Linked DNA regions of Rattus norvegicus. Each later gene encodes a partner of the first gene's protein in a complex. Links are inferred from orthologs where the notes say so. Each region holds a gene or a part of one and is shown in the gene's direction. Other genes may lie near its edges. The genes, in order: Nup85, Nup153, Nup205, Nup107, Nup98, Cetn3 and Nup214.

The links.
Region 2: Nup85 (region 1) and Nup153 share a complex: the UniProt entries of both Homo sapiens proteins name them as parts of the nuclear pore complex. The link is inferred for Rattus norvegicus from reciprocal best matches to the Homo sapiens genes NUP85 and NUP153.
Region 3: the proteins of Nup85 (region 1) and Nup205 are in contact, whole or in part, in a cryo-EM structure (PDB 7TDZ), measured with the Xenopus laevis proteins. The link is inferred for Rattus norvegicus from reciprocal best matches to the Homo sapiens genes NUP85 and NUP205. Residues at the interface, in XP_041431608.1 of Xenopus laevis: Ala86, Glu87, Glu88, Ala89, Ser90, Gly91, Lys92, Ser93, Arg94, Lys95, Pro156, Pro239, Met240, Gly245, Thr246, Gln247, Thr248, Leu249, Thr250, Glu251, Phe252, Glu253, Leu254, Lys255, Trp256, Gln257, His258, Trp259, Pro315; in XP_041443600.1 of Xenopus laevis: Glu1477, Cys1480, Arg1481, Cys1484, Asp1485, Ser1517, Gly1518, Tyr1519, Leu1520, Lys1521, Val1522, Val1524, Asp1525, Ser1574, Gly1575, Gln1582, Gln1638, Gly1641, Gln1642, Gln1645, Val1648, Leu1690, Asp1691, Ile1692, Gly1693, Leu1694, Asn1695, Asp1696, Gly1697, Ser1698.
Region 4: Nup85 (region 1) and Nup107 share a complex: the UniProt entries of both Homo sapiens proteins name them as parts of the nuclear pore complex. The link is inferred for Rattus norvegicus from reciprocal best matches to the Homo sapiens genes NUP85 and NUP107.
Region 5: Nup85 (region 1) and Nup98 share a complex: the UniProt entries of both Homo sapiens proteins name them as parts of the nuclear pore complex. The link is inferred for Rattus norvegicus from reciprocal best matches to the Homo sapiens genes NUP85 and NUP98.
Region 6: Nup85 (region 1) and Cetn3 share a complex: the UniProt entries of both Homo sapiens proteins name them as parts of the nuclear pore complex. The link is inferred for Rattus norvegicus from reciprocal best matches to the Homo sapiens genes NUP85 and CETN3.
Region 7: Nup85 (region 1) and Nup214 share a complex: the UniProt entries of both Homo sapiens proteins name them as parts of the nuclear pore complex. The link is inferred for Rattus norvegicus from reciprocal best matches to the Homo sapiens genes NUP85 and NUP214.

What each region holds. Positions count from the first base shown.
Region 1 is NC_086028.1:101,304,012-101,308,558, forward strand, and holds the start of Nup85 (nuclear pore complex protein Nup85), read left to right. Parts: upstream 1-1,423; 5' UTR 1,424-1,446; coding exon 1,447-1,479; intron 1,480-2,066; coding exon 2,067-2,160; intron 2,161-3,798; coding exon 3,799-3,961; intron 3,962-4,547. UniProt on the Homo sapiens protein: Essential component of the nuclear pore complex (NPC) that seems to be required for NPC assembly and maintenance. As part of the NPC Nup107-160 subcomplex plays a role in RNA export and in tethering NUP96/Nup98 and NUP153 to the nucleus.
Region 2 is NC_086035.1:18,176,957-18,181,512, forward strand, and holds the start of Nup153 (nuclear pore complex protein Nup153), read left to right. Parts: upstream 1-1,499; 5' UTR 1,500-2,033; coding exon 2,034-2,147; intron 2,148-4,556. UniProt on the Homo sapiens protein: Component of the nuclear pore complex (NPC), a complex required for the trafficking across the nuclear envelope. Functions as a scaffolding element in the nuclear phase of the NPC essential for normal nucleocytoplasmic transport of proteins and mRNAs.
Region 3 is NC_086022.1:64,835,272-64,839,296, forward strand, and holds part of Nup205 (nuclear pore complex protein Nup205), read left to right. Parts: intron 1-263; coding exon 264-428; intron 429-3,329; coding exon 3,330-3,505; intron 3,506-4,025. UniProt on the Homo sapiens protein: Plays a role in the nuclear pore complex (NPC) assembly and/or maintenance. May anchor NUP62 and other nucleoporins, but not NUP153 and TPR, to the NPC.
Region 4 is NC_086025.1:55,277,281-55,281,305, reverse strand, and holds part of Nup107 (nuclear pore complex protein Nup107), read left to right. Parts: intron 1-825; coding exon 826-941; intron 942-2,957; coding exon 2,958-3,102; intron 3,103-4,025. UniProt on the Homo sapiens protein: Plays a role in the nuclear pore complex (NPC) assembly and/or maintenance. Required for the assembly of peripheral proteins into the NPC. May anchor NUP62 to the NPC. Involved in nephrogenesis.
Region 5 is NC_086019.1:165,905,661-165,909,647, reverse strand, and holds the end of Nup98 (nuclear pore complex protein Nup98-Nup96 proprotein), read left to right. Parts: intron 1-1,863; coding exon 1,864-1,975; intron 1,976-2,061; coding exon 2,062-2,279; 3' UTR 2,280-3,243; downstream 3,244-3,987. UniProt on the Homo sapiens protein: Plays a role in the nuclear pore complex (NPC) assembly and/or maintenance. NUP98 and NUP96 are involved in the bidirectional transport across the NPC. May anchor NUP153 and TPR to the NPC.
Region 6 is NC_086020.1:13,831,175-13,835,199, forward strand, and holds part of Cetn3 (centrin-3), read left to right. Parts: intron 1-3,143; coding exon 3,144-3,335; intron 3,336-4,025. UniProt on the Homo sapiens protein: Plays a fundamental role in microtubule-organizing center structure and function. As a component of the TREX-2 complex, involved in the export of mRNAs to the cytoplasm through the nuclear pores.
Region 7 is NC_086021.1:35,659,306-35,663,330, forward strand, and holds part of Nup214 (nuclear pore complex protein Nup214), read left to right. Parts: intron 1-1,837; coding exon 1,838-1,901; intron 1,902-2,308; coding exon 2,309-2,412; intron 2,413-4,025. UniProt on the Homo sapiens protein: Part of the nuclear pore complex. Has a critical role in nucleocytoplasmic transport.

The sequences.
Region 1 (4,547 bases):
CTTGAATTTCAAGGAGGTGTCAACATACTCTGCTGACAATTTTTATTTAATCCATCTGACTATTATTTTCTTAAAATAATTGTTGGGAGGTGGTGGTGCACACACCTTTAATCCTACTAGCACTCAGGAGGTTGAAGTAGTCAGCTCTCTGTGTGTCTCGAAAAACTAAAAACAGAATTTATTCATTGAATCCCATTACAGATGGTTGTGAGCCCATGTGGTTGCTGGCAATTGAACTCAGGACCTCTGGAAGAGCAGTCAGTGTTCCTAACCACTGAGCCATCTCTCTACCTCTTTACTTTTTTTTTTAATTAATTGTTTATTTAGCTCTGATCATATGTGGTAGATTTTGTTTAACTGTACAGTAAATTCAGTCTTTTAAAAATTATTGTATGTATACTGGCTGCATGCATATCTGCATGTCTGTGAACTACATGTGCGCCTCACATCCACAGAGGCCAGAAGAGGGCATCAGAATGCCTGGGATTTTTCCATGTGTATGTGAGTGCTTTGAATTGATCCAGTTACCCGGGAAGAACAGCATATGTGCTTAACCACTGAGCCATCAGTCCAGCTCCCCAAATCATTGATTTCAGTGATTAGGACTTGGATAAAAATTTGACAGAAAGATTTTTCTTTATTTCCTTAATGCCTGGTGGGAGTTTGTTTTCTGAGGCTGGGTTTCACTTAGCCTCACATCAAGTGAGCTCAACCTTGCTACATAGCTAAAGCTGGTTCTGAACTCCGAATTTCTGTCTCTACTTCCCAAGTGCTGCAACTGCCGGTTTAAGCCACCGTGCCCTTCTTTCAAGTCATGTATGCCCAACAATTTAAGGTAGAGGAGGTTTAGAATAATCCTAAGGAAAGAAAAGTGGCCAGTACATAAAAGGTTGAAGTCCTGTTGTTTTGGGGTGTCAATGCCCGCGACCAATTCCAAAGTAAGCGCGTTATACTTGTCGGAGTAAGAGAAAGGGACTGAGAATACTTAATAACAGACCCTGAGGGAGGGATCCCAACTACCGCTAAGAGCTAAAATAGGATTACTGAGGCGGAGTAGCTCTGCAATCCCAAGAGATGCGACAGCAAGGATCTGCGCACGCGCACACCCTCCCAGCCACCTCCTCTCCCGCCATCTCCCGGGGCCTTCCTCTTGCCTAGTGTGGGACTGTCCATGGCGCCGCCTGATCTAGTGGGAACATTCCGTGAGGACCGGTGGCCCCTGGCGACGTTTTCCTGAGGTGTTGTCTAGGTTAGAATAGTAGGAGACGTGTGTAAAGCTGCAGAGGCCTGTGTTTGGCTGAGGCGAAGGGATTTGTTGCGTTGAGATGTGCAGGCGCTTCGGAAGCCGCCCTGATGGGGTCCTCTTTGGCAGCTGGCTGTGAGCGGGAGGCCTGAGCTGAGAACAGCAGCAACGCGGAGGGGTCCCTGCTGCGGGCGCACCGCACTATGGAGGAGCTCGACTGCGAGCCCGCAGTAACTGTAAGGACGCCCGGAGAGGCTTGCTTGTCTCACTGTGAGGGTTACGTTTCTTTGGTCACTTCAGGCTTGCCTCCGTACATGTGGGACGCATGCTTTTTCTCTGGACACAGTTGCCACCATCCAGAATGTCAGATCAACTGGGAACTAGGTTAGGGCGGTGGTGGTCCCTAGGCTTCGGGTCCTGTGAATACTGGCCGGGCCGCGGAGGCCCCACTGCATCATCCCTTGTTTCTCTAACCTTTCTGCTTCTCTAGTTTCTCTCCTTGGGCGTTAGAATGAGCTTGGTGTAAGCTCCACATCGTCGCTCCAAGAGCTCAGTTGGCTTCTTCCTCTGGCTCAAAGCTTAATAAGTGCGTAATTTATTCTCACGAGAGACTATAGACCACTTGTTTCTGTCGCTTTGTATTCTATTCCGCTTACATAGAAATATTTTAAGGTGTGTGTATATGTCTGGATATGTGCACAGAACCGTTGGATACCATCTAGGCTGCCTGCCTGAACTATGGTGTCCGCAATCACACTTGGAAGTTGAATGAAAAGAAAGCCCTAACTAGGGCTAACAGTTCCTATGCCTTCTGTTTTACTAGTGGATTCCAGGTGTGAATTCCAAGAAGAAGCAAATGTGTTTTGACTGGGGCCCAGGGGAGATGCTCCTATGTGAAACTTCCTTCAACAAAACAGGTAGGTAGTTCTTGTTCACTTTTGTCTTGGTACATTTGTTGACTATCAGGGGCAGGAAACTGAAGTCATTTGGCAACATTTTTTTATGTTTGAAACTGTTTTTTGTTATTTTGAGACAAGTTACCCCTATATAGTCCTAGTGGGCTTGTCTTTGTGCAACATATGTGGGATTCGGAAACTACGTCTTCCAACCTCGATGTCCAGAGGGCTGGGATTTGAGGTGTGTCACACAACACAAAGTTTTTTTTGTTTTTTTTTTGTTTTTTTTTTTTTAATTCTGTCGTCTGTGCATGGGAGTTTTGTTTGCATGCCTATTGATGCACCACTTCGTGCTTGGTGCCTGCAGAGGCCAAAAGAGATCCCTGGACTCTAGGAACTAGAACTGTATATTTATGTGAGTTGCCATATGCGAGCTTGGAAGAGCTTGGCTGGAAGAGCTGCCTGTGTACGTCTTGTTTGGTCGTCTTTGGTTTCTTGAGATGGTCTGGCTGTCCTGGAACTGGCTCTAGACCACACTGGTTTTGAGCTCAGAAATTATTTGCCCTTTCTTCCTGAGTGTTAGGAATAAAAATATGAAATTTCAGCCAGTGGTCTTAGTCACCAAACCATCTCTTCAGCACCCTTCCTATAATGGACCTTTAGACACGAGCCATATAGCTCAGCTGTGGTGACGCACACTCGCACACCTTTCATCCCAGTACTCCGCAGACAGAAGCAGGTGGATCTGTGAGTTCAAGGCCTGCCTGATCGACAGAATGAATTCTAGATCAGCCAGGGTTACTCAGAGAAACCTTGTCTTGAAAAACCAAAACCAACCAACCAAACAAACAACAAAAAGAAATGAGTCGGACTGTGTTGCCTGCCCCAGCTGAAGGCAAACTCTTGGGTTCAGGCAATGCTTGCAGTCGTAGAATTTTTACTGTGCAGAATAGTTGACGGAGGATAGAGTGTTCCCGGCTGCCTGAGATACGATGCCGAACCCATTCTCAAAAAACCAAGGACGTAGGCTGTCGCTCAGTGATGGCATGGGCAGCATGGGCATGCCCAGGAGGCTTAGGGAGAAGGATTGCTTAGACTAGGACCCCATCTCAGCTCTCCACTTGAAAAACTCTCCTCTTCCTCTTCCTCCTCCTTCTTATTCCTCTTCTTCCTCCTCCCCTTCCTCCTCCTTCTTATTCCTCTTCCTCCTCTTCCTCTTCCTCTTCTTATTTATTTATTTATTTATTTATTTATTTATTTATTATATATAAGTACAGTGTAGCTGTCTTCAGACACACCAGAAGAGGGCATCAGATCCCATTACAGATGGTTGTGAGCCACCATGTGGTTGCTGGGAATTGAACTCAGGATCTCTGGAAGAGCTGTCAGTGCTCTTAACCACTGACTCATCTCTCCAGCACCCCTCTTCTTCTCTTTTATCATAGACCTGGCTTGCTTGGTCTATTGCATGCACTAGTCTTCTCTTTCATTTTAATCCTCCTGTCTCATTCTTCCTCTTGCTGAGTGTGTAGACATGTGCCCCCCATGCTCAGCCAGTTTTTGTGACTAAAAAATTAGAAATACTGCAGTGTTTTCTCTTTGGGGGAAAATGATAGATGTTAAATTAGTTTTTGTTTCCTTTTTCCTGTTTTGTTGCAGACAAATCAGAGAAGGTCCCGAGCTGCCCCTTTATTTATATCATAAGGAAAGATGTCGATGTTTACTCTCAAATTTTGAGAAAACTCTTCAACGAATCCCATGGAATCTTCGTTGGCCTGCAAAGACTTGAGGAAGAACTGTCCGGGAAATCCAGGAAAGCTCAGTGAGTGGTGGGTGCTGGAGCTCTAATGGAGTCGTGGTGAGAGGCACCCTTATCCTCCTGAGTGGCGGAGCGCCTTGGAGAGGATTCCTGGTCTCCAGGGTGCCTTCCCAGGATGTAGTTGTAGGTTGGGGAAATGCTGTTAGAAGACTCGGTGGCTTGGTATATCAACTCTTCGCTGTGGAGTCCTACTTCATTTGTGTGTGTTCCTTGAACACCACCACCCACCAAAGTAAAAAGAATATAAATAACACGACCAAAGAAGCCCTTGATTCGATCTCATTCTTGGAAGAGTTAAAAATGAGGCCGGCAGATGTTCGCTAACGGGCAGCCTGGTCTGCATAGTCAGTTCCAGACCACCCAGAGCTCCATGAGCCAGACTCTGTCTCAAGACAAAAGAAATGTTTATAGGGGTCAGCAGTTGAGGCAAATGGAAATAATTGCCTCTGAGGCTTATGTTTGTGACGAGGAATCAGAATTTGTTTTGCTTCCTTTGAGCGCCCAGCTGCTGAGCCACGTCACTGGGCCTGACCTCCAGGCTAGGATTTGTTTTCCTTTCCTATTTATTTATTCACTTATTTCTTCGGTG
Region 2 (4,556 bases), on another chromosome or scaffold:
AATTGTACACTTTGGGGGTGGGCTGGTGCAAAAGTTCATGGAGATTGCTTTCGGTAGCTGATTTCTGGTTGGTACTGAGCGCTTTCGGTCTGTACAGCTATTGTAAGCAGAACCATGTTTCCGTTGAGGTAAATATTCATTCTGTTTGCAGATGAGGAAAGAGAAGCTTTGAAAGAAGATCAGTAATCTCCCCAAGGCCACACAGCTAGTAAGTGACAGATTTAAACAATCTATTTGATTTTATAGTTATACACTTTAGAACACTGTTCTCTAATAGAACATTAAGTCGACGATTTTTTTCATAAGCGATTCTTTTTAATCATTTATTTATTTCATGGAAAAACTGGCTTATAGTCCTTCCTGGCTTTGAATGCCCAACTCCATATCCACCCTCTTCCTCTTCATCCCCCCCCTCCCCCCCAAAGACAGTTCTCTGTGTAGCCCTGGCTGTCCTGGAACTTGTTTTGTAGGCCGGGCTGGCCTTGAAGTCACAGAGATCAACCTGCATTTGACTCCTGAATGCTGGGATCAAAGGCGTGTGTCACCAGCCAAACCGATACCCTTAATGGTACCTCTTAAAGTTTCTTGGTTTCCATATAGTCCATTGAAATGACTAGGCTGGATCACATGACCACACAGACCTTTTGTCTAATGCCTGCATCTTTGACACCGTTTATTCAGCCTTTGAGGGTACAGTGTTTAATTACCTTCCAAACTATAATACTAACTGAAGCAAATATGTTTACTAGGAATGTATGAGTCATCCTTAATGTGTGTTGATTGCATAGGTTATAATTGCAATCATTTACTACGTTTCTTGTATACCAGGAAATCTATTAGTGCTCTACACAGATGACTGACCGCACTAGCTCCCCACAACTTTATAAGGTGGATTTTAAAGCTCCTAGCTGGTAGTCATCCAAGGTCAAGTCTGTAAGTAGTGAAGGAACTCAGACTGCAAACACCGTGCGCGTTGATAACAAAGCTCTTATATGATTAATGAAACAGTAACGAAGTTGTATTTTTTGCTTTTGTTGAGACAGTATCTCACTATGAAGCTGAGGCTAACCTCTAACTAGTGCCAAATGCCAATCAGAAGCCAAATGCCTTTTCTACTTGTTTTAGGCCTAGGGATCACGGCCACTGTTAATTTTAAAAGCGTTTTTTTTTCTCTCATATTGTGACAAATTATCGTTCTTTGATTTTTACTGTTTACTTCCATTCCGCTTATAATTGATGAATGGGAGATTACAGTTTTCACGTCGAGTGCCATTCTGAATCTAAACCGCCAACTGCCGCCAAATGACCGGGGCTTTGTGCCTCTGCGGAGCTCCGCGGGTGTCCTTCCGCCGCAGCCTTCCTTTCCGAGAATCCGCGCTCTTGCCAGAAAAACTATATTTCCCAGAGGCACCAGCGACAGAGAGCGCGGGCTCGGCCAACCCTTCCTTCCTTTGCCCATCCCCCCACATCGTCGCAGCGTGATGACGCAGACGCGTCGGTCGCTGAGGAGTGACGGTGTTCTGGCTCGCGACCGCGGCGGCCGCCTCAACAGCGGTAATAGGCGCAAGAGCGGCGGCGACGACGACTGCAGGGACGACGACGGCGGCGGCGGCGGCGGCGGCGGCGGGGCGGGCGCAGCGCGCACAGGGGAGGGGTTGGCGGGCGGCGCCGGCGGCCTGGACTGCGGCAGCGACGGCCAGGGCCGCTGAAGAGGAGCCTCCAGCAGCGGGCGGTCGAGCTAGGCCTCAGCGGTGCCCGGAGCTGCTCGCGCCGGCCTCGGCGGGAGATCTCCATAGAGACGGTGACAAACACAAACGCGGGGGTCCGCACGCGGCCGGCGGTCCTCAGCCAGCTCACGGCCTTCAGCCGCCGCCACTGCCTTCCTCGCCGCGCGAACTCTCATTTCCCGCTCGCTCCCTCGCGGTTCTCGCTGTGTCTGTGTGTCGCCTAGGGCCGGGCGGGGGAGGCCCTCAGGCCGCCGCCTCTGCCTCTCCCGCCCGGGAGCGGTAGTGGGAGGTCGCCCAGGCTCCGCCATGGCCTCAGGAGCCGGAGGCATAGGAGGGGGCGGCGGCGGCGGCAAGATCCGGACGCGTCGTTGCCACCAGGGGCCGGTGAAGCCTTACCAGCAGGGGCGACCCCAACACCAGGTACGGGACCAGCACGCCGCCAGGACTGGGCGGCTCCGGGTAGCCGCTCTGGGGGGCGGTGCGAGGCCCCGGCGCCCCACGTGGAGGGGACCAGAGGGCCTGAGACAGGGCCGGGGTGGCGACGGGAAGTGGGTAGAGCCTGGCCAGGCCTGGCGTCGCACACGTGGGGTGCGAGCGGCCTCTCCCAGCCCTCCCGCCCAGGGGCTTTCCCCGGCGGGCGCAGGGCGGGAAAAGAAATTCCAGGCTTCTGATACTCCGGCTTCTTTTTTGGCGGGTTTTGGGGTTTTGATGGTATTACTCACGACCTCGCGAGGGAACAAGGGAAAGATGTGGCAACAGGCCTATCCGCTGGCAGGCTTTTTCTTTCTGATGTTCCCGGGTTTAGGGTGCGTGGGGAGGTTAATCTGCCACCGGGGCCGGGAGAGACTTGGGGAGGGGGCGCTGTTACCCGGATAGTGGATTAATTCCGTTTTAGCCATATTTAATCTTAAATGATAGTGATAGTTCAGTCCCCTCGTCTGCCTGCTTGGCCTTTCCAGATCTGAACACACTGGTTTAGCTTCTCGTCCTTTCCTCTTTTAACTGAGTTATAGTTATGTGGCACTGAGGCGTTTTGAAAGTCCCTCGCCGCTCTTACGTCTGGTCTCTGATGCGCGATTCTTCCCTCTCCTCTCCACCCCGCTCTGTATTCTGAAGACCAGAATCAGCCATTCTCTACAGTTCACCAGAGATCAACTCTTATCTTATACACCAAATATTTTTTAATACTGGGCATTTTCTAGAAGTGTAAGGTATTTTGGACTCTCTAGGAGTGTTGGTAATCTTATAGGTTAAGCCACCGTATGCCTTCTTAGGGTGTTTATAAAAATGTCGATTTCTGTTGTAAATGAGATATTCGGTTCAGAAAAAAATTTGAGTTTTTAGAAATTGTGAGAATTAAAATGTTAAAAATCCACTTTAACAAAGCCACTTTTACAGGGCCTCGTGTACTAAAGTAGGAAGTGTGTATTTTAAGCTTATTGAAGAAGGGCTAGTAAATAACTTGTTGCGTATTCGTAAATGTAGATTTTTCTTGTTTTATCCTGGCTAGTGCTAAAATTGAATACTTAGCGTTTTTGTTTGGTAATGTTAAATTATATCACTTTCGGGATTTTAAAAAGTAAAGATAGGTAAAATTTTGAATAGTAAAAGCTGTGGTTTATATACTGAGAAGTTATTTGTCCTTGGTTGGAAGCCTTGGCATATTACCATTTTCCCTAGATGTGTGCAGAATGCTGAGGCGCCAGGGGTATTATTCCCAAGCAGATTTTTAAGACGAAGATTTCCCAAGCCTGGCCATTTTACTTTACCTGACACTGTACAGTGGACATTAAGACAAACATACTTTTCTCCTAAGAGTAACGAATCACCTGAATGCTTGTTAAAGGAAAATGAAAACAATTTGAGCAGAGAAATGGATGGCTTGGCTAGAGTTTAGAAAGAAGTCAATATTGTGATATTATGATAGAGTTTAGAAGGAAACAAAAGTTATGATCACAACTTATTTTAAAATGTATTTAGATAAAAAAACTAATTTGAGAGAGAAGTTGAGCCAACTAAAGCCCAATGTGTTTTAGAGCTGATCCAGATTTCAGGTTGTATAGTTTTAGGGCTCAGTAGTTAAGCTGTAACTTATGTAATGTTAGCTTCTTGCCTCAGTCATTTAAAAAGTAAATACATCTTTGACCTGGAATTAAAGATAACTTTCTTGATTTGCTGATTTAATATTGGCAGAATCAACCGAAGAAAAGTATTCGGGATTATATTAAAGAATACAGCTCAGTGTTTGTTTCTGTCTTAAAGTAACTAGTCTTACCTGGAACTTAGTGGATGTCATTGTCCTCTACTAGCAGAGCTCGTCAGCTGGTTTTTTCAGCAGCTGCTGAGTCATCTTGGGTATAGTGAGGAGCTTCATGACATGGCATGTTTCATACTGATGTTTGATAAGTGTCCAGATCTCTGAGCAGAATAAAACCTTTGGTTGTGTAGTAGAAGGTTAGAAGAAGTAAGCAGTGGTGCTATTGGTGGATGCAGGGCAGCAAATGTCTGGCCAAAGAGCTACTGCAGTCACACAGTAGTACCTGTGGCTCCTGTCTCATGTTCAGCTGACTTCTGATTTCCTGTTTTGACTTCTGGTTTAGGTCTTCTGGGAAATGTCTAAACTTTAGCATTTTTCTACTTTTAAGTTTTCTTTTAAAAAAAGCTACCTTGTTTGAAGTTGTCGAACTAGAAAGATACTGTCTTGATCAACCAAATAAAAGTAACAGTTGAGTGTAGAGATAGCTGGATATAGAGGTGCATACCTGAGATCACAGCTGCTAAGAGGCCGAGGCCAGCCTGAACTGTAGGCTGTCTTCAAGAAGTGTAGAA
Region 3 (4,025 bases), on another chromosome or scaffold:
CAGTGAGTGCTTCTTTTTTCTAATTTCTGCTGTCTATGAAACTTATTGAAAGTTGTTAACTAAAATTTTTGGTTGTCTTTTCAGTTTTTGTGCATTTAATACTTAACAGTAATACAGATTTCTGCTATGTCAATAATAATGTTGATTAGTCATTATTCTTTTTGAAAATGCTATGTCTTTGACTTTTAGATATCCATGTATGACAGAAGTAAGAATTTATTTCTGCTGTTTTTTGCTGACGTGGTCTAGTTTTGTGTTTTCAGATATGATTCACCACCTTCCCCTGTTGACAGAGAGACAGTACATTGCCACAATTCACTCTCGCCTCCAGGACTCCCAGCCTTGGAAGCTACCTGGGCTGCAGGCCACTGTTAGACTTGCCTGGGCACTGGCACTGAGGGGGATATCCCAGCTACCTGATGTGACAGGTAATGTAAGGAAAGTTTGAGATAACTGGCTATGCCGCTCTCTATACTTGGCAATGTGTGTGTTTTCTTCCTTTAAAATTTTTTAGATAACTTATGTGTGCATGTTTTACCTGTATATATGTCTGTATTCCACATGTGTGTCTGATGTTACCTAAGATCCAAGAATTCCCTGGAGTTAGGAATGGTTTCTAGGTATCATGTGGATGCTGAGAATAGAACCTGGGTTTTTTGGAGGAACAGCCAAGGCTTTTAACCACTGAGCCATCTCTCCAGCCCCAAATGGTTTTTTTTTTTCAAATATCAGATTTTAAATCAGAAAGTGTAAATATGAACATGAGAAAATACGAGTAGTTTGATAAAAAGTTGCAAGCCAGGAACAGTGGCTTGTGTTAGCACTCAGGAGGTAGGTTGATCTGTATAGTTTGGGGCCAACCTAGTCTACATAGAGTTCTAGGACAGCCAGGGTTGCACAGAGACTGTCTCAAAACCACAACAGCAAACCCCTCGTAACGTAAGGTAGTGCTGAGATGTCTCAGAAGAGACCCATAGGTCACCTTCAGTGTAGGAGCAGCAGTGTGGGCCTACAGCAGGCACAGGCAGTCACACCTATTCTGGTTCTTATTTGCGGTGCTAATGACTGATTGACCTTAGAGCGTCTGAATGTGTGCTAGGGCTGGAGGGTTCTGCCACTGAGCCACGGTTCTAGTTCTTTCTTTTTAAACAGGGTATCATGTATCCCAGTCTTGTCCCAAACTATGTAGCTAAGGGTGCCCTTGAGCTTCTTCTTTTTTTTTTAATATTTATTTATTTAATGTATATTACAGGTGGTTGTGAGCCACCATGTGGTTGCTGGGAATTGAACTCAGGACCTCTGGAAGAGCAGTCAGTGCTCTTAATCACTGAGCCATCTCTCCAGCCTGCCCTTGAGCTTCTTATCCTCCTGGCTCTACCTCTGAAGTGCTGGGATTCTTTTTTTTTTTTTTTTTTTTTGTTTTTGTTTTTTTTTTTTTTTTTCCGGAGCTGGGGACTGAACCCAGGGCCTTGCGCTTCCTAGGCAAGCGCTCTACCACTGAGCTAAATCCCCAACCCCGAAGTGCTGGGATTCTTAAATGTGTATTACCACAATCAACTATTACTATTTAAGTTTTAAAAAAATTTTTCATTCTTGATTTTGTTCACAAATTTTTTCACAGTGTATCAAACTGAAGATTTAGTTCTTTAAACTCAGTGTGTTGAGAAGGAGATATTTGGATCAATCAAGCATAGATAATTTGAATATGCTTGGCCCAGGGCGTGGCACTGTTAGGAGGTGTGGCCTTGTAGGAGTAGGTGTGTCCTTGTTGGAGGAAGTAAGTAAGTAAGTGGGGGTGGGCAATGAGACTATTCTCCAAACCATGTGGGAACCAGTCTTAGCTGCCTTCAGAAGAAGAAGTAGAACTCTCAGCTCCTCCGGCATCATGTCTGGATGCTGCCATGCTTTCTGCCTTTGATAATAGACTGAACCTCTGAACCTGTAAGCTCACCCCAACAAAATGTTGACCTTTTAAGAGTTGCCTTAGTCATGGTGTCTCTTCACAGCAATGAACCCTAACTAAGACAGTAGGGGAGTTTACTTAATCCTGTGTTGTACAGGATAACCTATTTTGCTCTCTAGATTGATGAAATTATTGGACTTAGAGTGGTTCATCTTGTCAAATGCAAGCTGTACTTTAATTGTAATTTGAAATACAAAGACTTGTCACTTCTGTAAGATTTGGTGGTGCCATCTGTATGTTGGTTGCTGACTAAGATGCAGTTCAAGGGAAGAAGAGTTTATTTTGGTTCCCTTGGTTTGCGGGGTTTGTCATGGCAGATAGGGCTCAGCAGAAGGAGTGTAAGAAGTGATGGCGTTCATCTGCAGTGAGGAAGCAGGGACACCATGTGGTACTCTCCTAGTTTGCTTTCTTCCTTTTTAAATTTAGCCTAGGCCTCTAGCCTATGATATGAAACTTGCCACATTCAAGGTGAGTCTTTCCTGAGGTAAACCTCTCAAAGGCTCACACCTTTACTCCTAGATTTTTGGGAGACAGAGGCCGGAGGATCTCTGAGTTGAAGACCGACCAACCTAATTTATGAAGTGAGTTCCAGGCTATCCAGGGCTAGACAGTTGAGACCCTGCCTCAAAAAAACAAGCCAAAACAAAACAAGAAAACCTCTCTGGAAATGTCTAGAATTAAAGCCCCTACATTGTTTTTACATGTTATGTTTGCATAAGAGCTCTCTGACTATACCAGTGTAACATTACATTAATTAACAAGTTACTGGAGAGATGGCTCAGCAGTTAAGAGCACTGACTGCTCTTCCCGAGGTCCTGAGTTCAGTTTCCAGCAACCACATGGTGGCTTACAATCATCTGTAATGGGATCTGATGCCCTCTTCTGGTGTGTCTGAAGACAGCTACAGTGCACTCACATAAAAATAAATAAATAAATCTTAAAAAATAAAAAAGTTTCTTATAGGAAGAGCAAGTGTTCTTCCAGTTTTGTGTTTTGTTTTGTTTTTTTTTTTTAATTGTTGTTCTTACTGTTTTGTTTTGTTTAAGACAAAGTTCACTATGTAGTCCTGGCTGGCCTGCAGCTTGCTACGGAGACCAGGCTGGTCTCAGACTCAGAAGTCCGCCACCCTCTGCTTCCTGAGTGCTGGGGCTAAACATACATCACCACACCCAGCAATATTGGTATTTCAAATGTACTCTTTAAGTAGTTCTTTGGAGTTTGTGAATCAATTACAATTATATAAATCTCATTTTGTGTATAGCACTTGTTAGGAGGCTCAAAAAAATATCTGAAATATGATCCACTAGGATATAACCTGAGTTAAAGATTTTTCCTCACTGCTTTTCTGTCTTCTGAAATTTTGTAGCCCTGGCTGAGTTCACGGAAGCAGATGAAGCGATTGCAGAACTCGCCATTGCCGATAATGTCTTCCTGTTCCTCAGCGAGTCTGTCGTGCTGGCTGAAAACTTCTATCAGGAAGAGTTTTATATTCGCAGAATCCATAATCTTATTACAGACTTCCTTGCATTTATGCCAATGAAAGTAAGTATAACAGTATAGGAAGTTTTGAAATAGTTAAAACTGTGTCTTAACTCGCTCTATGTTGGGTAACTAATAAAGTTAGCATAGACTTAAGATTTGACCGATTGTATTACAAATACAGTCTGAATGGGAAGGTGAAATTGACCGATTGTATTACAAATACAGTCTGAAATGGGAAGGTGAAATAATACAAACCTTATTAACTGGAAGGATGTTTTTCAGAAGAAACATTGGACACTGTGAACGCTTTCTAGAAAGCAGTGGGTTAATGAAAATGCCTATGGAGTGCTGCTAATATTCTTGTCTCTTATGTCTGTGTGTTTCATGTCTATTTTATTTCCTTTTATTTTATTGACACATTTATTTTATATATATTTTGTGGGTGCTTTCATGTGGAAGTCTGAGAACAACCAATGGCTTGTTTTCAACACCTTTACCACTGAGCCTTCTTACACACCCCTCTCCCAGTTGTTTTTTGGTAGTGCAAGGGGTGAGACAGCTCACAGTCATATAAGGCAAG
Region 4 (4,025 bases), on another chromosome or scaffold:
GGAAACCAGATTCAGAGCTCTGGCCACTGCCGGGCACGCCCCAGTGTGCTCTCTGAATTTAGATGATGAACATCTGCCAGCTGTGTCACCTGTGCTCATTTGATGTCTACTCAGTTACACCTAGATAAAAAGTGCCCTTTGGGGTTGGGGATTTGGCTCAGTGGTAGAGCACTTGCCTAGCAAGCGCAAGGCCCTGGGTTCGGTCCCCAGCTCCGAAAAAAAAAAAAAAAAAAAAAGTTAAAAGTGCCCTTTGTAGCTAAAAAAAATTAATAGTCAGCGTGGTAAGCTCAATCTTAGAAAAATAAGTTAATTCTTCATAATATAAAAATGTTAATATTTAAACTGTTTGATTAGAATCTAAATAATTGAAAACTGAGAAATTGTGGGTATATGTGGGTGTTTCATGTTCATGTATATATAGATGTGCATATACGTATATATGCATGTTCTTGTGTGCATGTCTGGGGTGTTGTATGTGTTCATGCAAACATACATGCACATAGATAGATAGGCATGTGTGAGTCCAGAGGTGAACCTTGAGTATTGTTCCTCAGGAGCTATCCAGTGTTTTCAGACAGGGTCCTCCATTGGGACCTGGGGCTTTTCTGATTAGTCTAGACTGGCTGCCTAGTGACCTCTGGTTCTCCTGTCTTCTCCCCAACACTGTGGTTGCAACCATGCACCACCATGCCTGAGTTTTCTACATGGGTGCATGCTGTGCAGTGAGGACTTTACCAAGTGAGCCATTGGCCCTGCTTTCTGAAAACTTAATATTTTGTTGCTGGCTTACTTGCTTTATGTTGACAGTGTTCTTTCCACTTACAGTTACTCCACCAAGCCGAAGTTTACTAAGACACCCAGATATATCCTACATTTTTGGGACGGAAGGGAGGTCTCCCCGGCATATACAGTCTTCTGGGTATTTGGGAAATCTTTCCATGGTATGTATAAATAAATGCAGTTTGACACTTAAAGGCACTTGAAAGCCGTTCAATGAAAGTTAAAGTTATATTCATCATGAGAATAATTTCAGGTTGTGTGGAGTGATATCTTTGGTTAGACATTTGAAAAAAAACCAAATGTTAGAATATGTCATGTCACAAAAGGAAAATGACAGCAGTAACATCTAGATACTGGTCAGATACCAGAGTCTAGCAGTTTACTGACCAAATGAAATGCATCCTATAACCGTGGATGACTGTTTGGTTTTTTTTTTTTTTTTTTTTTTTTCCTTTTTTTCGGAGCTGGGGACCGAACCCAGGGCCTTGCGCTTGCTAGGCAAGCGCTCTACCACTGAGCTAAATCCCCAACCCCCCGTGGATGACTGTTAACGCCAATCCTTGTTTTTGTTTTGCTTGTTGGTTGGTTGGTTTGTTTTGTTTTTGTTTTTTCAAGACAGGGTTTCTCTGTGCAGCCCTGGCTGTCCTGGAACTTGCTCTGTAGGCCTGGTTGCCTCCTGAGTGCTGGGGTTAAAGGCAGGTGCCACAGCGCGCCGCTGTTTTAAAGTATAAAGAAGGCGGGAGGATTAAACTGCTTGTCTCACAAACATGTGGACCCTAGTTCAGATCCCAGCAGTAAAGTAAAAGCTGGATATGGCAACACTGTAACCCTAGAGCTGGGGCCTGGGGAGAGATGGGTGGAAGAATGAGCCCAGATTCTGTAAGAACCCTTCCCTCAAACCCAAAGTGAAGAGGTAAGTGAGCAGGATGCCTGCCACCCGCCCTGGCCTCTGCACCCTCCACACAGCAGAGCAGAAAGTGACTGCTAGGGGATGTCAGACATTGTCAGGACGAGTAGGACTGCCTGCCTGTGGGGTCTGACCAGGAGAGCATCCACTGGATTGAGTGGAGGACCCCGCCTGTGTCTGCTCTCAATTGATTCTTTGCTGTTGTAAGGAAACCCTCTTCTCCACATTTGATGTGTCTGTGGTATGAACGTACTGGAGACTCTATGATGGGTTTTCCCTCAAGACAGAAGAGAACATTTTAGGAAAGGATGAGACACTCTAGGAACCACTGTGGCATAGTACTGAAAACAGCAGAGGAAACATCATATGCGCTACAGTGCACAGGGGCTTTATCTGATTACTCAAAGAATACCAACTAGGGAAAATGGATCCTATTGAGGAAGGAAACACATTGTGCCATATTAGTAACTCTTAAGGCATATTGAATTATAAATCAAAATGATTCTGTCTTTGACATTGTGGTTTATTAAATACTCAGGGAGATTTCGATGCATATATGAAGTTATCTAAAGTAGATATCTTCTGGACATAGTTTTGCCTTTTATCCTTGCTTTGTTAGTGCTTAAACCCATCTTTTTTTCCTTTGGGGACTCGAAGCCAGGGTCTCAGTGGTGGTATTTGCCTGGTATCCCAGCACTCGGGATAGATAGAGGCAGGAGGATCAGGAGTTCCAGGTCATTCTCAGCAGCATAGGACATTGGAGGCATGCTTGGGCTGCACAAGACCTGTTGTAAAACAAAAACATTTTAAAGCTGAAAGAATAATTCTCAGATATTAGGGCTGGTGGTGAAGAGCTCTGACTTCTTGTCTAGAGGATCTTGGTTTGATTCCCAGCACCACATGGTGGCTTGCAACCACTGCACCCTTGGGGGTCCAGTGTTCTCTCTTGGCCTCTGTAAGCACCCTGCACATATGTGGTGCATAGACACAATCAGGCAAAACAAACACATAAAAGTTAAAGAAGACTGTAGCTCACATATTTTAAAAATGAAAACCAGATAAGGTGGGAAAAAAACCTTTTTTTTTTCTTTTTTCTTTTTTTCGGAGCTGGGTACCGAACCCAGGGCCTTGCGCTTGCTAGGCAAGCACTCTGCCACTGAGCTAAATCCCCAACCCCGGGAAAAAAAACTTTATTCAGCAGTAATTTACCTATTTAATGACAATGGCTTTATTGCTTTCCTTTTTTTTTTTTTTTTTTTTTTTTTTTCAGGTGACTAACCTTGATGACAGCAACTGGGCAGCTGCATTCTCATCCCAGCGTTTAGGGTTCTACACAAACACGGAGCACCATAGTATGACTGAGGACATAAACCTAAGTACTGTCATGCTACGGGAGGATGACCCTGGAGAGGCTGGTAAACGGCTTTGAGATTTAAGTAGCTTAGTTGTTCCTGCACATCGTCAAAATGTGATTTTCCTGGGCATAGTGGTACAGGCTTGTAACCCGGCACTTGGGAGGTAAAGGCAGATGGATCGCTGTGGGTTTGCCATTGGCCTCATCATCCTAGTAATTTCCTGACAGCCAGGGTTACCTAGTGGAACTCTGTTCCAACAATTGTGTGCATGCGTGCGTGTGTGTGTGTATGTGTGTGTGTGTGTGTGTTGAGTGATGTAAGTTAAAAAATACTTTTATTTCAAAATTTTAGATTCTAGAAATCTAAGATGAAGGCGTTCCAGGTTAGGTCTTTTGAGGTCTGCCTCTCTGCTTGACTTGCAGGTCACCCACTTCCTCCCCCATTCCTGCTTGGTCTTCCTCCTATAATATAGTTTTGTTAAGCTGTTAGTCATGACCATTTTTTCAGTCTGTTTGGATGGATGTTTTGCCTATGTGGATGTCTGTGCACCCATTGCATGCCTACTACTTGTGGAGACCAGAAAAGGGCATTATATCTCCTGGAGTTACAGATGGGTGTGAGCTGTGTGGATGCTGGAACTGAGTTGGAGTCTGTGGAAAAGCAGCCAGTGCTCGTAACTGCTGAGCCACCTCTCCAGCCCCAATATCTGAGGACTGTTATGTTAGCTTTAAAATATTTTTGTTTTACAACATGTCTTGAGAAGATCGAGAGCTTTGTCTTAGCACTAATTTTGAACAAATCTTGCCATTTTAATGTAGACAGCAGACGGTCAGGTTGTTAGCCAACTCTCATCTTTAGTTTTTCTCCACTTGAGAGCTCCTGTTTCTTTGTTTAGATTTGAATCTAACATTCTTGATATGCAGTGATCTTGATTTTTCACTTGATTTTTTTCAGACAGTATTCTGACCTGCTGGTTTGAGTAG
Region 5 (3,987 bases), on another chromosome or scaffold:
ACTGTGGATTTGGGAGCTACTGGGGTAAACAGCACGTTTTTTCCTTACTGATTCAGTGGGGAAGACTGAGTAAGCCAGCCATACTACAGAGTAAAGGAAAAGATTGCCATGGGTTGTTGATTATATGCCACTCAGAGTGTAGCTCGGTATTCATAATCATAACCGAATGAAACGCACCCCTCACTTAAAATCCAGTCTGGAGCTGGAGAGATGGCTCAGTGGTTAAAATCACTTGCTGCCCTTGCAGAGGTTCAAGTCTTAGTACCCCCATGGTGGCTCATAGACATTAGCCAGTTCCAGGAGATCCAGTGCCCTCTTCTGCCCTCATACATGCTGATAAACATCATGCACAAAATATTATCTTTAACTTTCCCCTTCTGTTTCGCTGTTTTCCTCTTTACCGCATGTGTTGCACCTTACAGGGCTTAGCTGTTTCTTTTACAAACTTGACGTGTTTTTAGAAAGGTCTCAGCTGACAAATGGCCTACTTAAGGAAGTTTCCCCTACTTTGAAACAGACATCTGGTTTCTTTATTTCCGCAGCTTACAATTCTTTGAGGTTTTCTTGTCTGTAAAATTCAAGCAAAGATAGCAGAGGGTAAGAGTAGTTTGTGTTTAGGGATAAATTAGTGAATTCTGCAAGCCCTCTTCAAAGTGAGTTCTAGCCACTTGTAACCAAGCATGGTGACCTGAGTTCAGTCTCCAAAACTCACATAGTGAAAGGAGACATCCTTTGACCTGGTGACAGGAGAAAAGTAAATCTGGTTTGTTTTTAATGTCTCTGACAAGGTGTGGTGCTACATGCCTATAATATGCCATGATGAAACAAGAGGGTAATGGCAACTTTGGGACCAGCCTGGAATATACAAGTTCTAGGCCAGTTGGGGCTACATATCAAGACCGGATCTCAAAAAAACAAATGATTGGGCTGGAGAGATGGGTCAGTGGTTAAGCCACTGACTGCTCTTCCAGAGAGGTCTGAGTTCAAATCCCAGCAACCACATGGTGGCTCACAACCATCTGTAATGAGATATGATGCCCTCTTCTGGTGTGTCCGAAGACAGATACGGTGTACTTATATATAATAAATAAATCTTTAAAAAAAAAAACAAAAAACAACCCAACACCATGATTATAGAGAGTAACACAGTAGTGTGGCCAAGCTCCTAAGGTGTTTAAGGTGAGAAGTAATGGTGGTCCAAGCTTCAACAAGGAGTGTGGCACAGGAACGGAAGTTTGGTGTTGGGCTAGAACTGAGGACTTAGAAATCAATACATTGACTATAGTTGGAACCGTAGGGATGGATCAGGAGAGTGTATAAATGAGTAGGTCCTGCACTGTTTTAGAAATGGCTGTGACTTTAGAATAAGGAGTTGTAAATTAAATGCTGGTTTAAGTGTCACCTCTTACTACATGTGTGTTGCTGAGTGTCATACTATGTGTCTGAATCAGATGTATCCTATGTTTTTTGGTGTTGTGTAAAAATTATGTGACTTGTGAATCATATCTCAGGACCTGTCCAGCCCAAGGCTCTGTGTTCACTCCCTCATGTTCACTGTTAGTACCTTGCCTTAGCAACTAGGTGGTATGGTGGTAGCGTGGGCACTGCCACCAGCTCTTGGGTTTTCTCCCCTCCTATCATTGTCCTTAGGATTGTGTGTAATCTGTGAGTGGGATTGAGGTATACATGGGGCTTTTTGTTTTGGTGGTGGTAGTGTTTTGGTTTTGTTATTTGAGACAGGGTTTCTGTTTATAGCCCTGGCTGTCTTGAAACTCATTCCGTAGACCATGCATTGAAGTGCTGAGATGGAGGCATGTGAGGTAGAGGTTTGTTTTGTCCTTACTGGTTTCTGTTTTCCTGTAGGTGGATTGCTCAGGCTATGAACTAGAGCACTTACATACCAAAGTGACTTCACTGTGTAACCGGATAGAGCAGATTCCGTGCTACAATGCCAAGGATCGCCTGGCTCAGTCAGGTAAACATGTGGGCTCTGCTTGCTCATGGCCGTTACCCCGACACCAGTGCCTTGTTCTCAGTACTCACTCTGGTATTTCTCTCTAGATATGGCCAAGCGGGTAGCCAACTTACTGCGGGTAGTTCTGAGCCTTCAGCACACTCCTGACGCCACCTCCAACTCCACTCCGGACCCTCAGCGAGTCCCTTTGCGTCTTTTGGCTCCCCACATTGGCAGGCTCCCTATGCCTGAGGACTATGCCTTGGAGGAACTGCGAGGCCTTACCCAGTCCTACCTTCGAGAACTGACTGTTGGGAGCCAATGAGCCTGGCTCCTGCCCATCCGCACTCGCCACCACAGTCTCCCACATTGTTTTAATTGACACTCTGCCAATCTCTGGGAGTCCTCCGCTCCTCTTCGCTGCCCTTCGCAGCATCCTCTAGTTATTCAGGGGTTTTCATAATACTGAGCATATCCTACCATAGCTCATAAGGGCTTCTGGAACAGCAACAACAAAAAACACAGGTCTCCATTGATCAACCTCAAGACCATTCAGTTTTTTTCTTTTGAAAAATGGTCAATAAAACCTCTTTGGCAGAACCTCCCAAAACCCAGGGAATTCTTTTCCACACCCAGAGTTCTGACTCTCACCCCAGATATATGACTGACTGACCTTCCCTTACTACAGATTTGTCTCTCAAGTAGATTTCTCAGTTAACAGTGTGTTTGGGAATCAAGAGAGTTGGACCTTGTTCTTTGACATATTTAAGAAAGAAGGGCTGTCTACCATGGAGGCGGAGATCTTCAAGGCTTTTACTCATGCCTTGTATATCCTTTGGACACCATGCTATCATGTGCAGTGGCCCCAAGCTACAGAGAACAACTCTTGAGAAGCCCCAGAACTGCTCTGACCCTTGATCATCAGTCATTTTCCTCGATTTGCCAGAGGAGTTTAGATGAAGAATGTCAAGGGTGTTCCTCCCTGCCCTCCCATCTAGCCAAGAACATTTCTCAGAAGGTAAAGCTGTCACTGCGACAGGTCTGGCTGGGCCCAGGGGCAGATAGGGAAGGCCTTCACCACATTGCTGCTGGCTATGGGAAGTCCCAGGCACTAGCCTGAAAGAGCGGATATTTGGGGCTGTCACAGACAATATGGCCACCCCTGGGTCTTTATGCATGAAGATTATGTAAAGGTTTTTATTAAAAAATATATATATAAATGATCTAGATTATTTTCCTCTTTCTGAAGTACTTTCTTAAAAAAAAAATAAAATGAAATGTTTATAGTATTCCTGGTGGTTTTGTCTTTGTGTTTTGGGAACTCTGGAATCTTTAAGAAACAGATCCTGGGCTGGGGATTTAGCTCAGTGGTAGAGCGCTTACCTAGGAAGCGCAAGGCCCTGGGTTCGGTCCCCAGCTCCGAAAAAAAGAACCAAAAAAAAAGAAAGAAACAGATCCTAAGTTAAGAGAACAAGGGGGCTGAGGAGTGAGTTCAGCATATCAGAGCACTAACCACACAAGCCTGACACCCCAAGTTCACTTCTCAGAATCTTCATAAAAAGGCAAGCTGTTAGCACACCCCTGTAATCCCAGAGCGCTGTATGTGTCTGGCAGCACTCTCCAAGGACTTTTTACATGTATACAGTGTATTTGTCATACCTATCACTCCCACTCTCAATTCTCAGCATTATGGTTGTTTTTGTTTTGTCTGTCTGAGTTTATTACTATTTTACGTGTGTTGTGGTTTACTTGTATGTATATCTGTTCACCACATATGTGCCTAGTGCCTGTGGAAGCCAGAGGGCATCAGATCTCAAGAACTGGAATTAGGAACAGTTACGAGCCACTTTAAGGGTGCCGAGAATCAAACCTGGGTCCTCTTGGAGGAGCAGCCAGTGTTCTTAGCCACTAACCCATCTTCCAGCCCCATTGTGTCAGAACTCTTGTTAGGGGATGGAGACAAGCGACACCCTGGAAACTGACCTGCCATCTCGCCTGGGGAAGGCAGCATGTCATCAGGAACTACAGACCTA
Region 6 (4,025 bases), on another chromosome or scaffold:
GGAGTTAAAATTACCAAGAAAGTGCATTGAGGAGCTTAGGATTTCAGGGTAGGTGACACTACATTTTGATTCTGTGTGAGAGACATTGTTATCTGGCGTCATGTTTGTGGACGCTGCTTCTCTGCCACCATGTGGTAGTTTAGACTGCGAGCTTAGGACTCCCGAAAGCCTAAAATGTTTCCTATCAGACCTTTTATAGGAAATGTTTATTAAGTCTTTACCCAGGGAATTTAAGTTTTTGCAAAGGGGATTTTTTTTTTAAACTTAAATCTTTAGGGATTGAAGATTTCCAAGAAGATTGTAGGAGTAGCTGAGATGCAGTCCAGACTTAGACGGTGACAAAGCAGAGTGGCACTAGGTGTTCAGCACCGGGAGAGGCTTCAGCTCATGCAGTCCCTTCTATGAGGGATCATCAGTGCACTGCAAAGGCAGCCTCAGTCAGACTGATCATTATACCTAGTGAAGTAAGATGGGACTTCAGTCAGCGGAGTTTAAGGAACGGGAGACTGTGTTTTACAATGGTAGCTGATGAGAAGATTGAAGATGAGCTGAAGGGGATTTTGGAGGCAGAAAGTTCCAGACTTTATGGTCAAGGTTGTTGGTGTGAAAGAAAGACGCTCCATTTGAGAGTAAGGCAAGATAGTGCCTTCAGAACTGTAGTGTGCAATACTTGGATAATTAAGGGACATTTATGGTGTTGAGGGCGATGCCACTGTTTGAGAGTCAATGATGTAGGTACCTTTCCTTCAGTGGAGGTCTAAGAGGCTATGAATCCCATATGCTGCTATAGAAAGACTTGAAAGTCCAACATTTTTGAGTTTGAAATAAGTATTATATGTTTGGATAGAAACTTTCTAACATCTTTTTTTGAATATTTATTTATGTATTTTTTTTAATGTAGAAGTGCTCTGTTTACATGTATACCCACATGCCAGAAGAGAGTCAGATCCCTTTATATAGATCTCTTTTTAGATGATTATGAGCCACCGCGTGGTTGCTAAGAATTGAACTCAAGACCTCTGGAAGAGCAGCCAGTGTTCTTAACCACTGAGTCATCTCACCACCCTTAACATTATCTTTCATGATTTTGATTTTTTTTAGAATTTGATATTTCCTTACGTGATTTTTATAAGGTCTAATATTTTTGACAGTGTAGTTAAATTGTGTACCTTTGTAATTGGTTTTAGTGTGCTTTATGTCATTACAATGTAAAAATCAAAACAACAGAAAGCAGTTGCATGGACAGAAATCTGGAACTTTGTGAACCAGGAAATGACTTAGCTATGTGTGTATTAATTGCTTTAAAGTCTCCTATTAGACTATAGGTGTGGACCACCATGCCTGGTTTATTTCCATTGAAAAAAAGATGTCTTACAAAGAAGTCGTACTTGTCAGAGAGAAATGGAAGGCGATGGTGTAGAGGAGAGTCACCATAAAATACGTCATGTAGGGTGATGCTTCTGCTGCTCAGAGTTATGGCAGTTAGAAGTCCTAAGAAAAGTGCATAGTGTCAGAGACTATCGATAGGCGACTTTACTGACAAATGTGTCTGAAAGACTGATAGAGTGTGTCAGTGGGATAGTGTGTGGGCATGTTGGCCTCCTACGTGTTGTGGCTTTAAGTGCATTAGTGTTTTAGCCATCTGCCTTCCTGGTTTACCTGTCATGTATGTTACTTAATCGATGAAGAAAATTTCCTAACAGTTTTTTTCCTTGTCCTGTTTTCTTGTTGGGACTGAATTCAAACTAAGTTGAGTGTGTGCCATAGAGTTAAGTGTGGTGTTTTATTTTGGTGTTATGGCTGTAGGTATGCCAATTCCTGTTACTGAATATTTATGAGCTTTGATTTGCATACTTATAGTAATAGACTTCAATTAGTTTTTTGGAAACTTTCTTTGGATAAATTAATGGCGAAAGATAATTTTGGATACATGTGTATTTGACGTAGCGTTAGCTTGACTAGGTGCTTTCTCAGCCAAGTGGGATGAAGGAGCGGGAGACAGGCAGCAACTGGTACGGGACTTTGTTTTTTCACTTGAGATTCAATAAATATCCTAGCACTTTCCATCTACAGGCAGTTGAAATTTTCAGATGAATTTGTAGATCCCAATAAAACCAAGTCACTTTTAATGATAGGATGATAAATGCCTTTTCTTGTAGTAGCAGAATAACATATGGCATTACTTCATAAATGTTTACTTAGATATTTTGAGAATTCTGTCAAGCAGCATAAAATTTTATACTATAGACATTAGGCATTAGTTTTTATTATGACTTGGTTAAAGGCCTATGCTATTAAAATATATAAACTTAGTCTATTGATATGTGCCCTTATTTTTTATATATTAAAATTTAGTTACTGACATCTTTAATGACTCATATCTATTTAACTTGTTTTATTTTGCTGAAATATGATTTAGACCTGCTTCCAGAGGGGATTTAACCCCTATTCACTGATGCTGAAACCAGTGCTGATAACATTTGCATTTACTAACATGTCTTATGCCTGTATTGGCACTGACTTCTGTTAATTTCACAGGCTTAGTTGGATACAATAGAGGAAGAATTAGGGTCTTAAACTAAGCTAAGAGCTTTCACATGGCCAGGGCAAATTGTTCACTTAAACTTAGTGACCTGAGAGAGGTGGTATAGTGTTTTTGTGGACTTAATTATTTTATGTGGTATATTTACATATATACCATATATATGAGTGTTTCGCTCGTGTGAGTTTGCACTTGAAGGGCCTAGGTTAGAAGAGGGTATTTTGGGCCCCTGGGACTGGAGTTATAGACTGTCGTGGTTTGCCAAGTGCTTGGTGGGAATTGAACTTAGATCCTCTGTAAGAACAAGTGTTCCTAACTGCTGAGCCATCTCTCATCCTCAGTTTAATTCTTAACAATAGTAGTAAATATAGTGTATATATGTTGTCCCATTTTTGGCCTTTGTACAGTATAATTTAACTTACATTTATAATACGGACATTAAATGGTTAACATGTAAAATGTGGACTTAGAATTCAGGTTTATTTCTGAGTTTTAGTGATCTACCATGACGTTTAATTATTAGACTGAGTGTTGACAGACTCCTGGGTGTTGCTCTCAATGAATAGCTGATTTTTACATGAATGTCCTCTTTTAACTCTAGTGACAGACTGGATACTAGAAAGAGATCCACACGAGGAGATCCTGAAAGCATTTAAACTATTTGATGATGATGATTCAGGAAAGATAAGCTTGAGGAACTTGCGCCGTGTTGCCCGAGAGCTGGGTGAGAATATGAGCGATGAGGAGCTCCGGGCCATGATCGAGGAGTTTGATAAGGACGGCGATGGGGAGAGTAAGTTCACCTTACTTTTCTGAAGTCTTGAGTTTTGGGACGCCAGTGAGTTCTCCCCATCCCACTCTTTCTTTCCCTTTTAGTTTTAAAGATGAAACTCATGATACCTTAAAGGTTATTTCGAGTTTGACCTTGTACTTCAGATCCTTTCATCCCAGCGTCCTGAATGGTGCGAGCCCGGCTGGATGCCACGCTGTAAGCTTCATTTATACTGAAGCAGATCCTGTATAAGCTGTAATGTGAAATAGCACGCGTACTTCTCTGAAGAGGAAATTGCGCAATTTACGAAAAGTTTAGATTTCGGTGCTTTCTCCCTTAACCTGTTTACACTTCTGAACTATAACTAAATTCGTAGATTTTTCTTTCAACCACTTTTCATTTGTTTTTGTTTGTTTGTTTTTTTCTCTGCTGCTCGGTTTTAGGTCATGAGTTCTATTTAAAATGTCACAGTGTTCTTTCCTTGGCTGCCCTGTGTATGTCCTACCTGTCCTGCAAATACACGCTGGTGTCTCACAGCCTTCCCCGTGTCCTGTGGCTTAGGAGCCTCCACCTCTGTTTGCAGTCTGTCGATTCTATTCTTTTCCTAAATGTGGGTTCTAGCGCTGTCGTTTCCATGCTCAGATGGGAGAGCGGATCCTCACTACCCGCAGAGTAAAGTCCACACATAGTGCCGAGCTTGCTTTATTCCTG
Region 7 (4,025 bases), on another chromosome or scaffold:
ACGCGCATTGTTTCTGTTTTCCTTTAAAGTGAAATGTGGCCTACGCTAGGTACTATTCCTTCACTTCACAATCTCCCGCCATTCAGAAACCATGGTGTCTCAGTAGAAAAATGTCCACTCCCTCCCTCTCCTTCCTTCTCCTTTGTGTCTTTTTCAGATGCGATCTCAAGTATGTGGTCCAGTTCATCTTCAAACTTAGTCCTCCTTCCTCTGCCTCCTAAGCTCTAGGCCACTCCAGCCTGCTGTGGATTGTTTGCATTTGTTTGTTTTTACAAGACAGGGTTTCTCTGTGTAGCCCTGACTGTCCTGGAGCTCGCTCTGTCGACCAGGTTGGCCTTGAACTCAGAGCTCCACCTACCTCTGCCTTCCGAGTGCTGGGATTAAAGGTCTTACAACTGCTCAGCCTTGCCAAGGGGGGGGGGGGTTTCTTAACATCAAGACATGTTAAAATAATAAAAAAAAGGAGGTATTTCTACTCATAGCTGTGCTTTGATACATGGCTTTGTTGGAAATCTTCCATGTGTGGGAAGAAGTCTGTTTAGCAACCTGCATAGGGAAAGAAAGGAGTTAATGAAGTCGATGGGCAGTTTTTATCTTTCAGCTCTCTTTTTTTTTTGGAGCTGGGGATCAAACCCAGGGCCTTGTGCTTGCTAGGCAAGCGTTCTACCACTGAGCTAAATCCCCAACCCCATCTTTCAGCTCTCTTAAAGGTTTAGTTTTTCCAGTTGTCGGCAACAAACAAAACATACGCCTGCTGTTGCACTCTCTCCTCCCCTTATGAGCCCGTTTTATTTTGTTTTGTTTTTTCGAGACAGGTCTCATTGTGTAGACCAGGTAGGCTTGAACTCAGAGGTCTGCCTGCCTCTGGGTCTTTGGGATTAAAGGTGTGCACCACCATGCCCAAAGGGAACACACACACACACACACACACACACACACTCTCTCTCTCTCTCTCTCTCTCTCTCTCTCTCTCTCTCTCTCTCTCATTTTATGGTCCTCAGTGTTTTGTGATCATTTATGTATGTACCTTCGGAAGTTGGAAGACAGCATCAGATCTTCTGGAACTTAGTTAGGAATGGTTGGGAGCCACCATGTGGGTTTGGGGAATTGAACTCAGGTCCTTTGTAAGAGCAGCAAGAACTCTTAACTACTGAGCCTCTTTAGCAGCTGTGAGTATGGGCAACCACGTTTGCTTGTTGTTGTCAAACATTGTTATGTGAAGTTGAGTGCATACTCTTTTGGGAGGTATTAGCCTCTAAAACAATAATGCAGTTTATTAACTTATATTGTTTTGCTTTTTCCTTATTTGCTTGCTTGCTTGCTCATTTGTTTGTTTTAAGACAAGGTCTCTAATCCTGTCTGTCCTGGAACTTGCTATGTAGACTAAGCTGACCTCCAACTTACAGAGCTCTGCCTGCCTCTGTCTCCAGGGTTGGGCTAGAATTAAAGATATGGGTCACCACGTCTGGCCCTGCCTTTTTACTTTTAATAACTTAGTAGACTGAGGTCATCTTTCCAGCTCTGTGCAGGGAGCGACTCTCTCTAGTGGCTCCATAGTAACCTACTATGTAGAAAGGCCCATATGCTCTTGCTGATGGCCACATGCATCGGCACCAGTAGCTGGGGCACTGTGAGTGCGACTGCATCGAGCCATCTCATCAGCTGCGTCTGACGCTGTTGGTGTGAGCATTTCCCTGGGTATGCTGCTCGGAAATGATGGTGTTACCCTCTCTGTTGGGGGGCTAGTGGGGGAGGCGGGAGGATAGAACACCAGCTTCTAGGGGATTTGATTGCATTTGACTGAGTCACTGACTGAAGCATTATAAATCTCTTTCAGACATTGCAGGAAAAAAAGGTCATTCCATGTCCTCCGTTTTATGAGGCAGACCACCCTGTCAGAGGTAACAACTGCTTTGCTCATTCTCTGGCCTCTACTGCAGCCATTCTAGCCATGTGAGATCCTCTGTCCCTACTCAGGAGAGTGTGGGAGCCACACTTAATGTCGTGAGTTATTTAGCTTGAAATGGATCTTCCAGTTTTACAAGAATTCCTTATCGTTTCCCTAACACTAATCCTTCAGAAAACCCACTGCTTTAAGAAATCGGGCCAACTGAAACCCTGTGTCTGTGAATTACTGTTATTCAGAGGATAGACCTTTGGAAAAGCCACAGTACTTCATTTGTTTCTTTTGTCTTTTTCTTTTCCCCAGTTAACTCTTTTAGCACATGGTGGCTATCCCATGCTACTCTTTGCTGCATCTTTCTTGTTGAGATTGGTTACTTAGGAATTAGGGGTGTGTGTCTTTCAGTTCTGGATGTGCTGTGGATTGGTACATACGTCTTCACGATAGTCTATGCTGGTGCGGATGGCGCACTGGAGACCTGTCCAGATGTGGTGATGGCTCTGCTTCCGGTAAGCTTGTGAAAGAGCAGCTCTGTTTCCTGAGACTCACAGCAGTCTTGTAGGAATGCTAACTTAAAACTAAATTCCTGGGGTTGGGGATTTAGCTCAGTGGTAAAGCGCTTGGTAGGCCCTGGGTTCAGTCCCCAACTCTGAAAAAAAAGAAAAGGAAAAAAAAAAACAAAACCAAATTCCTTTCCTTAATACCTGTTATGGTAGACTCAGGTGTAAGGTTTCAATGTCACACCATAGTCCTGGGACCAAAATTCTGGTGTGCATTTATAAAGTATTTATTTGGGGGCTTGATTACAGTTTTACAGGATCAGTCCATGAGCATCGTAGCAGACAGGCCTGGCACTGGAGCAGTAGCTGAGAACTTTACATCCTGAGTGGAGCAACAGACAGCAAAAGAGACACTCACCCAGTGTGGGATTTTGAAATCTTACAACCCCACTACCCAGTGATACACCTCCAGCAAAGCCGTACTTCTTAATCCTTCCCAAACAGTTCCATTAAATGGGGGACCAAGCGTTCAAGCATATGAACCTGTGGGGATCCCTCTCATTCAAACCCCCACAGGCACGATTTGATTATGAAGTAAAAAAAAAAAAGTGGATACTTTTACTTATGCTGTAATTTAGAAGAGCCAGGAAATTTTCTTTTTTCTTTTTTTCGGAGCTGGGGACCGAACCCACGACCTTGCGCTTGCTAGGCAAGTGCTCGACCGCTGAGCTAAATCCCCAACCCTGGAAATATTTTGATTTTTAAAAATTATTTATTTTGGGTTGGGGATTTAGCTCATTGGTAGAGCACTTGCCTAGCAAGCTCAAGGCCCTGGGTTCGGTCCTCAGCTCCGGGAAAAAAAAAAAAGCAAAAATTATTTATTTTATGTGAATGAGTGTTTGCCTGAATGTATGTATGTATGTGTATTTCCTGTGTGCCTGGTGCCCACAGAGGTCAGAAGTTGGCATGAGATCCCCTGAAACTGTTGTGTGATTGTGAGCCACCATGTGCTAGGAACTTAACCCAAGTCCTCGGTAAAGGCAGTCAGTGCTCTAAACTGCTGAGCCGTCTCCAGCCCCTACCTTTTAATGTTCATTTACTTATCAAATAGTTAAGCAATGCAGGTAGTATGTGGAGCACTGTCGTACAGCTGAGCATACAGAGGTGACCAGGTTGAAGTCCTGGCTTTTAAGGATCCCACGTGCTGACAAGTCAGAGAGTGATGGGGCTATGGGGGTGAAGAGAAGAGAGTAGACAGGGCAGGCGATGACTAGGGCAGCCGTGGCAGACAGGGTCAGTGAAGGCTTTCCTGAAGGCAGAGAGCTAAGTGGAGTGCACAAGTGAAGAGCGATGACGTGAGCTCCAAAGTGTTGCCAAGCTCAGGGGCATTGGAAGCAGAGGATTGGAGTCAGGCTGCTTTGTTTTGCCTGAGACAGGGTCCTACCCTAGGCATGCTGTAGTCTGGTTAGCCTCAAATGCACACTGTCTTTATGTCTCAGCTCCTGAGAGCCAGAATTATAAGTTGAGTTGCTGGGCCAGCTTCAAATGCATACAATTATTTAGAGATGCTTATTATAGAAGGAGACAGCTACTAAGGCCTTTTTTTTTTTTCCGGTAGAGGG